Linked DNA regions of Bombyx mori. The protein of the gene in region 1 binds, or shares a complex with, the protein of each later gene. Links are inferred from orthologs where the notes say so. Each region holds a gene or a part of one and is shown on either strand. Other genes may lie near its edges. The genes, in order: mediator of RNA polymerase II transcription subunit 24, mediator of RNA polymerase II transcription subunit 4 and mediator of RNA polymerase II transcription subunit 16.

Region 1 (3,760 bases):
CATATAATCTAAAGCTCCTATACAACGCTCTCATACGAAGTATTTTAGATTATGGTACTTACTTTCTTGAACCATGTAATGCAGTCGGACTAAATAAGCTTGATGGCATACAATCAAAAGCTCTCCGTTTAATAACCGGTGCAATGAAATCTAGTCCTATCAATGCTTTACAAGTTGAGTGTGTTGACCCTCCTCTGCGACTCCGTCGTCAATATCTTTGTGACAAGTTTCTGTTCCGTGCTCTACAATTTACCAAGCATCCCCTTCATACCAAATTATCTACTTTATCACATTTAGTTTCATCTTCCCCCTACTGGAGGCACAAGTCTCTACCTTGTTTAGTCGTGAGTTTTCGTAAATTTTCCTCTTTGCTTGCCCCCACTCACATGTCTCATCGTCTCTCTATTTTTTCTGCTGAATATGAAGCATTAACTCTTGTTCCTAAAATTCATTTTACCTTAGATATATCTCGATCTATTTTTTCTGCCAATATCGATTTTAATATCATCTTAGATAGAGAGTGGTCAGATCGACATTACATTTATAGCGATGCATCTAAAAATTCTTCCTCTGGTCTCGTTGGTGTTGGAGTTTATCATCAACAATCAAAAATTGTCCAAAAAATTAAACTTCCACCAGAAAGCTCTGTTTTTACTGGGGAATGCTACGGATTATTTAAAGCTATAGAATATGTTAATTTGATGAAATTACATAAATCTGTTATTTTTTCTGATTCCAAAAGTGCGCTTCAGGCACTTCAGAAATTTCCTTTCAAATCTTGCGCCAATTACCCTGTTATTGTAGATTGTAGAAAATTACTGTGGGAATGTAATTTAAAAGGTTTCGATGTAATTTTTGCCTGGATTCCTAGTCACGTGGGTATTTCTGGCAATGAATTTGCTGATAAACTTGCCAATGATGCTGTGGATTGTGGAGATATTTATCCATACAAAATCTTCATAAATGATCTTTTGTGTCTTCCGAATTCAGACCTGCGCGAATCTTGGGGACAAACATGGGCTATTTCTAGTCAATATAAAGGAAAGAATTATGCCCAAATACAATCTGTCATTCCTACCAAGCCTTGGTTTTACAATTTTAGATTTAATAAGATCACGACTACTATCATAATCCGGATGAGACTGGGTCATGCTTGCACTCCATCTCATTTGACTAGATTGGGTATAGTCAATAACAATATGTGTGATTGCGGCGCTGATGTTGGCAATTTAAATCATATTTTTTTCGCGTGCTCCTTAAATGACTGTTCCTCATTTATTGATTTATTAACATCCCTTGGTATTCCACTCCCGACTTCTATTAATACTTTGCTGTGTACTATGAACTATGATATTTATTTATGTATTTCAAATTTTATCCTGAAACATAATATCAAATTGTAATTATGTATATAAATACCTACCTGATCCATTCTTTTTAATTATCCGTTTTTTCCTTTTTCTCCTGTTTCCCTACCTTTACCCTTGTATGTGGCTAAATGCACAAACAGTGCAAGCTAAAAAAGAAAAAAAAAAAAAAAAAAAAAAAAAAAAAAAAAAAATGTCTATTTTGTGATTGGGCTATTATTATTCAAGTTTGATCATATAAAGTAATGTTTATTCTCAAATGCTCGCTATAAATAAAATATCTTTAAAAATGTGATAAACTTAATATGCCACACAAATATAACGAATTAATTTCAATATTCAACAGTGAACAAGAAAATGTAATTTGTAACCTCAAAGACTAGTAGTAAAGTGTTGTTTAAACGACTAATATCACGTCAAAAATGTGTGAAATGTAAGAAAGAAACATTATTGTGCTCTAATAAAATACAATAAAAATGGATGCTTCCAAAATAACGAGTAAAACTAGTTCACTAAAAGCTTTAATTTTAAAAGCTTGGAAAGAACGATGGACTGATATTCAATGGGGCATCAACATCAAAACTATACTGCCGAGGGGCGTCAGTGGTGACCTATATAATCTGGCTGATTGTATTCTTCAACAAGCCATGGTAGGCTGTGGGGCCAATCAGTTAGTGATATCGTATTTGAAACATTCACTTGCGTGTCATTTGGTCTCTTTCGCGGCTGTGTTACAACGAATCGCAAAATTTGATGCTTTTCACAAACCTCATTGTATAATAAGCTTGTTGGAGTTCCTTGAAACCTTTTTGGAGAGTATTACATGCAGAGGCAAGTTAGAAGAAGAAGTTTTAGCTTATGCTGTATCATCTATAATATTGTGGCTTTTACAAGTATTTCACTATTCATTAACCAAGTATCCAGCTTCAAGTTCTGTTCAAAGTCAGGAATTATTGGAGAAATCATCAGTTTTACTGAACTCTATTGTTAATACAGATTTTCTGATTGCAATGTTCTATTTGGCCAAGCAGAATGATCCTGATGAGTATAACGAAGTGACAAAGAAATGTCAAGAGATAACAGCATTTATGATGATGAACACTCAATTCAAACCTCCGATGACCATACATGTCACTTTACACAAAATCTGCAATATGGAATTGGATAAAATAGCACCCTTAAACAATAAACCAGAAGCTGTAACCTATTGTCTGCAGGCTTTAATAGCTATAAATGTGTTCTCAAACCCTAGTGCAGGCATGCAACAGATCTCCAGCCAACTACTAATGGTTCAGAAAATAAAAGGCTATTCATTGTCACGTCTCTACTGTGAACTTATTAGAGCTTGTTTCATTTCACTAAATGATTCTAGTAATGATGCATCGAAGCAATCATTGTGGGCTGCATTCACTTTTCTAAAAGTTCCACAAGTGATAAATCACCTCCATAATATGTGTGGGACAACAAATAAGGAAAGTGAATATTCTACTGAGGTTGTGGAAGCTTTTGAAATGTTATTACAATCAGCTCCACTCCTGGATATTGTTGATACGAAGAATTCTTGTAATAGTGTTATTTCACTTATAGAGCCATTAGTTAAACTTAATGTTCTGTCAGATAATACTTTGACATATTTTAAACAAAAACGTGAGACTATTGATCATCCTTTACAAAAATTTGAGCCAATAGGATTACAAGGCTCAGTCCCATTATTTATAACTCGTGTTGAACCTACATTGGCAGAGATTTTAAAAGCATTGAGTGGTGAATTTCACAAAACTCAAGAGTCGCTCTATATCATGCTATGCCAAATAGTTGGTCGAACTACATTGGATACCATCCTGGCCGTTGCAACTGTGGAAGGAAAACTAAAAATGTTTGTGTCAAGACTCATTAAGTTTAATGAATTTGCATTGTTTGCTGCAAGTGAAAAAGGTGCACCACAATCAAAAGTATATATATTTGACATTTCATTTTTGCTTTTATGTTGGATAGTCCAAGATTATGGAGCTGATGTTGTTCTAGAAGAAAATGGTGATTCATTTTTTGAGAAATGGGTAAGGGATTGTATGGTACATAAAGGAAATTATAAATCTTCAGATCAGATACTTCAGAAATGTGATCATGTTGTTGATGTTATCATTCACCATTTGAGTGCTCCTGACTTTGATTTCAAAAATACTAATGTCAAACCTCATGATCTTTGTATGAATATCACTGGTGCAGTCAAAGAGGTTCTTTTTGCTTGGGAACAAGGTCTACTTTCGGCAACAGATGTTAAAAGAATGTTGGATTCTATAAGACAAAAAATGGCTTCCTTGGCAGTGTGTGCATCAGTATGGCTTTGTTCATACATCAATGTTGTCCATCAAGATGCATCAATAAAACCCATG
Region 2 (3,760 bases), on another chromosome or scaffold:
CACTGGCTCCACCTGAGAGAGTTTGCCAACACTGGCCCTGGCAAGAGCAATGTTTCGTTAAAACCTACAGGATCAGAATCGCAACCCACTGAGAAGAACTGACGAGAAACTGTTTGGGTTATGTCAACAGGCTAGTTCGCACTTCCAACTCTTAATCGCAGAGTTCGCGTGCATAGATATCGAAAAATAAATTTGGAGGTTAAATTTTTGTTCAAATATAACAAAACGATTATGTGGAATAAATTTTTTTATTATGTCATTTCTATGAGGATATTTAAATAACATTTGAATTAATTCTACAAATATTTTTTTCATAATAAACACAAGCATCAGTCTTTTTAACTTGTTGAGTTGCACTACACTTTTAATCAAAATGAAGTCCACGGTTTTTCTGTATTCATTGTGAATCACTACTTGAACTTGAACTGGAGTCTGTGGACATAACTTCAACATCTTCTTGGTTGGGAGCATCCTTCCCTCGGCCATCAATAGCTACAGAGTTACCGCCTCCAACAGACATGTGTAGCTCGCCTGATGGATGCCAAGTGAATTGGCTTGAAGCTGAAGCTGGTACTGAAATAATATAACACAGTAAACCTGATTAACAAGCAAATGGTTTTACATGTTTTTTTTACCTAATGCAATTAACAAAAGGGTAAAATGTTTCTGTAAAATTCTGATGATAAGAATATTCTTAAATAATTTCCATGGGTTATGGGTTTTGAAGGAAGCCTCTGTTGACAATATTAATAAAAAGAGGTGGCAATAACATAGGAGATTTTTTTTATTCTTTACAAATCCTATAGAAATTTGATCATTAATTCAACTTTCCTGAAAAATATTATTCTTGTATATTTGAGTTTAATACAGTGGTCCAAAACATGATATATCTGCCAAAGCACTTGCTGAGTAGTTTAGGTGTTTGGTGTTCCCTATCACCCACTTCTCTCATAGCTATTAATAACTATGATAATACATGCTTATTGTAGATGAATCAAATTAACTATAACGATAAAGTACCAATACTAGAATTGTATAAATATGTACTGCACAAAGAGTTCTATACATATGCAACTTGTTCTAAGAATGATTCATTAATATAATGAGTAATGCATTTATACCTCCACCAGTTGTTATACGATGAAGTTCATTCAGTGTAGAAGGCGTGTGACCATTCAATGGCAGATCACAGAGGCGACCGAGCATTCCTAATCTCATTTCTAAATCAGTTGGATAAGGCCGACGAGGATCACCAGGTTGCCACGACAAAGGTGCGCTGACAGCATTAGATGCACTTATTCTGTAAAATATCAGTAAGTCAAAAAAAGTTTTTTTAAGTACTATTTAGTTCTCACATCAAAAATAGTGTACTGTCTAATATTTAAAAATTCTTTTTAATGTAATTTAATTAAAGTGTAACTCTATAGTTATGAAAGAAACTGTTTTCTGTAGATAGTTATTTTCATAACATTGTTGGCTATTCAGACACAATACCTAATATCCATTCAGACTTTTTGCATTAATAAACTTAATCAACTGTTAATATACTAAACATCTCATTGATTTATTTGTTAGTCAATGTGCCTACTATCATTGTCTCACTGTTGTCATTGGTCAGGTTTGAAATCTCTGTTGAGATCATAAATATTTAATATTCAATATTTAGGAGTACTCATCATGTGTTTTAAGGACCTGACTCAGAAAAAATATTTAATTTCAATGTAGAAATCTTTAATTGTTTACTAACCTGTGTGCAAATTTGATCAACTCCTCAGAGGGTACAGGTCTCTTTCTAGACTTCACTATTGATGCAAGTTTCTGTCGAGCTTGATACAGTGATGTAGCCAGAATTTGTTCTGCATCTTTCAATTGTCTTTGAAGGTGATATATATCTTGATCCTTAGTAACACAACAAAAACATTTCAATTACATAATTCGCTTGTGGCTTAAATTGTTGTGAACTAGCAGTGGATGAGTCAGTCCACTCCAAAATTTTATCCATTTTTTACTTAAAATAAATCTCTTTTGTAGTATTTACCTTACTATCTACTTCAGCTTTGAGTTCATTCATTTTCTGTTGGATCTTTGCTTGTTCGTCAGCTAGGTCTAATGTTTTTTTCAATTCTCCATGTTTTGATAGAAGTAGGTCCGTCAACTGAGCATGATCTGCAGCGGACACTTTCTGTGGTTTTGGTGCTATGGAAACTTCTATTATTTCCCTGAAAATTTAAAGAATTAGAACATGAAGTTGATCGGTAATGTTTTCCACAGTTCAATCGTGTTTTAACTCACTTAGCAATAAGTTCGATATCATCTATTAGTGCCAATAAGCGATCTTTAGTACTTAAATGTGACGCCATAGCTCTATATAGCTTAACAGCTTTTTTTAATATAAACGATATGTATTATTTCCTTATATCATATGAACTGGACAAACGACCCCCCAACGCTGCGACTCTTGGGATTTCTTGTATCAAAAACGCTACTATGTACGTGGTAACTACATTCAATGTTTACAGTAAAAATAATAACATTGTTTGATGTTTCCAATACAGCAGACGACAAACGTGAAAGTCATAGACTATGTTCCACAGCAAGCACAGACTAATAATTAGTAGAGCCTTGAAATATTTTTCTCTATGATATAGAGAAACTTATTCTCGTACTTTTACAGTTTTTCTAGTTTTAAAGTGAGTTTCAGTATAATTTATATCTACAAACTTTGTTTTATAAGGCCGTAGCCTATTTACGTTATAAGAAATAAAATAAAATTTACTACTGGTAACGAGATGAGATGATTTACTTTTTCTTATGAAGATGGGTGAATGACCTCAAGGCCTATTAGTAGTTACCGGAGCTTAAAGACATCACAAAGTGATTGCTGCCCCCAACTTTAACTTCACTTTTCTATTTTACACTATAAAGTGTGTTCCACCCTTTAAATCAGAATGCATGATTACTTGGCGGCAGAAATACACAGTACGCTGGTACCTACCCATGTAGAGTATTGTAGAGTCTAGTTATTATGATATGATCTCTCAGTAAAATCGTGTTTATTTCCTGAGACGTTAATTGAAAGACTCCGAAAAACCACATGTAGCGATTTCGTTTCATTTTTCTACCCGTTGTGCACTTTCATGAATTTGAACATCGTTTGGTCATCATTCATCGTTCTCGTTGAACCCATCGCTTGCGACGAAGGCTCGGCTAGTAAAATAACCCACAAATAAAGCCCACTGAATTTCTCGCCGGATCTTTTCAGTGGGTCGCGTTTCCGATCCCGTGGTAGATTCTGCAAAGTATTGCTCTTGCTAGGGTTAGTGTTAGCAACGTCGTCAGGTTAGATCCCCGTGAGCTCACCTACTTAATAAGTTACACTGACATAGCTCTCAAGCTTAGATAAAAAAAAACCATTTCACAGGTTCAGAATATTTGTCAGAAGAAATACAATATTGGTGTAATAAAAATATTCTCAAAATAAAGGACATCTGATTCCATCAAAATTATTGAAACACTGCACAAAAAAAATTATTCTATTAATTATTAGACTTGCGAATACTGAAAAAGGATTGAAAGATTGTGATATTGATTGTTATGGTTTATTTATAATTCGTAATTATTGGCGGTATAGCGTAGGTTGTAGATACGTATCTACGACCAAGCTTCCTATTATTGCCACCTACCAGTTATTCGTTTCGGTATAAAGGGCAAGATAATAGACAAAACAGTTGAGACTTCGAATCCTTAATTCAATCAAAAT
Region 3 (3,760 bases), on another chromosome or scaffold:
ACAATAGGTATCCCGTCCGTGTGTTGTTGGAATAGCCCCTTATACTACCAGCAAATAGGCAGGTAAAAGTTACAATTTAATAAAATATACGAGACGTTGGATAAGTATAATTATGTATGTAGTAATACTAGTACAAAATTATAAAGTTAAATCAGAAAAATCCAAAGGATCGAATAAAATTATCCAGAGAAAAAAACAGAATAATTAAAAATAACAAAACTTCACTTTTGACCGTAAAACAGAAAGTATTATTGAAGAAGACATATTTTCTATTAAAAGTTCATAACTTTAGTCCAAAAGTAATAAAATATATACCGCGCCCAAGCCGTACACATCCTCATAAATTTTATTAACAACCGCTCTAAAAGCGTCAGAGAGACATAAATACTTACTAAACTTAAATTAGGTAGATTTGCAAGATAGTAAATAAAACGCTTCAGAAACTAAATCCAAATGTAAATAATTTCCTTATTTTAAATGACTTATGCCAAAGTTCTCGAATATTTTAACTTGGCATGTGCAGGCAAGCTCACAGTTACTTGAAGACAATGGATCGATAATAAATGCCGTATTTTACATGAAAGGAGCCTACCTTGAACGTATGTAAACAAATGTAGCGACAGCCACAAGAATATCCAGTTTCTCACGCCGTAAGCTACGATCCCTGTCCGAAACATGGTTCAAACCAATAGAAGACCACTGCACTAGAGGTTTTAATTCATAACTATCACATTTTCACATAAAATCAAAAATATTTATGTTAAAGTTCACAGATAACGAATTCGGAGCGATACTACGCGATCCGCCATTTTCATGTCCACTTACGTTCGGAAACAATTCGATATTGAAAGGGCATTGCCCGGGACGAAACGGAGCGCCCTGAAGTTAGTACACTTCGTTGATTTCTGTCAAACGAGAAATGGAATTGGCAATGGAAATTCTGACATACAATATGAAATTCGAAATCGCTAGGAGACAAAACATTTAAAAAATAAATATAATCCGTGCCAACCAAAAATACGTATAATCCTTTTATCATTCGTTACATACAATTGGTACTTCCACAAATAAATATATAAATTCAGATCCAAGCAATAATAAAACGTTATTGTCATTTTGACACATTTTAAAAACTGACGTGATAGGTATCAACAAATAAAGTTTTTGCAATCTTATTAACTTCAAATTTCCAACCTGCTTTACATGCGTATTTTAATAAACATTAAACATTTCGTTCACAAATCGCTAACCGCAGTCCGCGGTAGTTTGTAATGGAGCTAATATACTCTATGAGACGCAAGCCACTTAAATGTGAACCTCCGCACTTCGAAAAGTAAATAGTTTAAATTTATATCAAAAGTTTATATTTCTATCCAAATTTACTAAAGTTTACAAATTCTTCTTCTTCTTGCTTCGGTTTCCTCAATACTGAGGGTCGTGACCATCTCCTCGCAACAAGAGTTTACAAATTAAGATATCTTTAACGGCAGTAACATCAACTTATTTTTTAAGTTACCGTTGTTCATGATGCCTTCCATCATAAGAAAACACTAAAAGGATAAAAATAACAAATTAAGGAGAAAAGTAATAGGAGACTGCTCAGCTCATGGATGTATATTATAAAAAGAGCTGACTTTAGAACTTATCACATCTACATAAAATTCAAGTATTTTAAAATAGTCCCATGCGTTCTGTGTTCTGTTTGTAAAACATTATTTCTGTTTCTTGGTGTTACATAAACTCAATGCTTAATAATGTTGTCTATTTCTAGTGTAAAAGACTCTGAAGTAGTCCGACCAATATGTACAATATCATGTGCAAATATCATAGCATTCTCATCACCGACAGAGCTTAGTGATGTGGACGGAGCAACATGGGGAGGTCATGTGTATGTATGTGACTTAGATACCCCATGGAACAGTCACAAAGTTACAAGTACAGCTTATCCTGTAAGTGTGAAATAGTAAAAGTATAATGAAACTATGTGATACAGATCAGTTATTCAAAAGTGGTATAATTTTACAACCAAATGAGCTCTTTATGTATTAACACTATTAATGAGTTTCCATATCAAATAGTAGACTAGAACCCTATGTGGCCAGGTTTTGTTCGCATAAGTGAACAGACCAGCTCACTCACCAAGAGTTAAACAATTACGGGAGATGATAAACAGTGTCAGATGATCGTCATTGCCTACCATCATTATGTTGGAGAAATATTCAGTGAGACTCTTTAAACCTTACACACATCTACATTAATGCTATCAAATGTCAATCTGTTCATATTATCAATATTTTAGGATCTACAGTAATTGATTTCACTGTGGTTATGATATGATTTACTCATGATTTACAGATATGATTTACTCATATTTGTAACTTCTTCATAACTTAGTATTTGTGATGATATATGCTTCTTACTTATAATTGATATCCACATCAACAATTTCAATTATTTAACAAAATGATCTAAAAACTAGTTTATAGCAGTGATTCTCAAACCCTGTGCTGCCAAAATTTTGAAGTTTGCTGTCAAATTTTATACTCAAATGATGACCATACTATTTTATACGGTCTATAGGTTCGGAAAAATACATTAAGCTATCTAAAAGTTTGTATGGAAATACTCTTACAACTTTGTTTCTTTATGCAACTATGTTCTAATAAAATAATGGATACAAATTCCAGGTGTCAGCTCTAGAGTGGGACCTGGAAGGCAAACAGTTGTTAGTAGCCACTACAGTGGGTGATGTGTCTGTCTATGGACAGAAAGACTTCCTCCTCAATGATTGGACATGTCTTTACAGTGCTAACTTCCCTGGTAAGATAAAAATTTAACTACCTAAGTACAAAACTAGTTATTTTAGTAAAATTGTTTATCTTAAAGCATTACGACTACTGCCACTTCTCTGATGTTGTCGTACACTAAATGCATTGCTATTTTAAAATCTTTAATGTAATTTTGAGTCAACTTTTTTAATTGATTTATGCATAGGGGTTGTTTGTGGTACCTAAGAACATATAAGATCAGATGGCTCTCTAAGTGCAAACTTAATTCAGCCCTTATTTAAACGCTTAGATAGTCAACATTTTCATATTCTGGTACCATCGCCCTGTCTGTTCTATCATGAGACATAATGTGGCTCCAATTGATGTTTGGGATAGCTGTCACTGCAACATGACTCTGGTCCCATGTCTCATGATGAGTGGTGGCTTTTAAAAATATTTCTTTGAATAGATCTTAATAAGTTATAAACATGTAATAAAGATTCTTTTCAAGGCCATATCAATAAAGATGTTTTCTTGTTTTTTATTTTTCATTTTTGTCAATAAATGACAAAATATTTCAGGAGAACACATAATCCAAGGGGCCTTTTTCCACAATGGACGTCGTGTGGTGGCCGTGGATAAAAAATCAGATGCGGTTATCCCTGAAAAAATACAAATGCTTCGGTTCTCTCCTACTCTCAAGGGATTCGGGTGAGTGTATCGGGAGCTTGTGCAATCTCTCAGTAGGTGCAAAACAGACTGCAGAGCTACTTATTGTTTCTGACAATTAATCTAATTATAAAGATAAAGAAACCTTTATTAACAATCTTAATGCATATTTAGGTACATACTATTAATGTAATTTGTCGTGATCGTGACATTTCTTCTTCCACGTAGAACCTGCAATGGCCTTTATGTTGTCTACCCACCTTTAGAACGGTAGTTCTTTTAACCAATCAGTTTCTAATTTAGCCCATTTTTTCTGTTTTGCT

Evidence for each region.
Region 2: mediator of RNA polymerase II transcription subunit 24 (region 1) and mediator of RNA polymerase II transcription subunit 4 share a complex: the UniProt entries of both Drosophila melanogaster proteins name them as parts of the mediator complex. The link is inferred for Bombyx mori from reciprocal best matches to the Drosophila melanogaster genes MED24 and MED4.
Region 3: mediator of RNA polymerase II transcription subunit 24 (region 1) and mediator of RNA polymerase II transcription subunit 16 share a complex: the UniProt entries of both Drosophila melanogaster proteins name them as parts of the mediator complex. The link is inferred for Bombyx mori from reciprocal best matches to the Drosophila melanogaster genes MED24 and MED16.

The regions. Positions count from the first base shown.
Region 1 is NC_085113.1:5,802,214-5,805,973, reverse strand, and holds the start of mediator of RNA polymerase II transcription subunit 24, read left to right. Parts: upstream 1-1,117; 5' UTR 1,118-1,843; coding exon 1,844-3,760. UniProt on the Drosophila melanogaster protein: Component of the Mediator complex, a coactivator involved in the regulated transcription of nearly all RNA polymerase II-dependent genes.
Region 2 is NC_085112.1:8,189,767-8,193,526, forward strand, and holds mediator of RNA polymerase II transcription subunit 4, read right to left. Parts: upstream 2,617-3,760; 5' UTR 2,361-2,616; coding exon 2,293-2,360; intron 2,220-2,292; coding exon 2,039-2,219; intron 1,900-2,038; coding exon 1,748-1,899; intron 1,301-1,747; coding exon 1,122-1,300; intron 574-1,121; coding exon 398-573; 3' UTR 230-397; downstream 1-229. UniProt on the Drosophila melanogaster protein: Component of the Mediator complex, a coactivator involved in the regulated transcription of nearly all RNA polymerase II-dependent genes.
Region 3 is NC_085108.1:235,596-239,355, forward strand, and holds the start of mediator of RNA polymerase II transcription subunit 16, read left to right. Parts: upstream 1-1,115; 5' UTR 1,116-1,271; coding exon 1,272-1,333; intron 1,334-1,771; coding exon 1,772-1,949; intron 1,950-2,687; coding exon 2,688-2,820; intron 2,821-3,349; coding exon 3,350-3,479; intron 3,480-3,760. Other genes in the region: neogenin, read right to left, coding at 593-677. UniProt on the Drosophila melanogaster protein: Component of the Mediator complex, a coactivator involved in the regulated transcription of nearly all RNA polymerase II-dependent genes.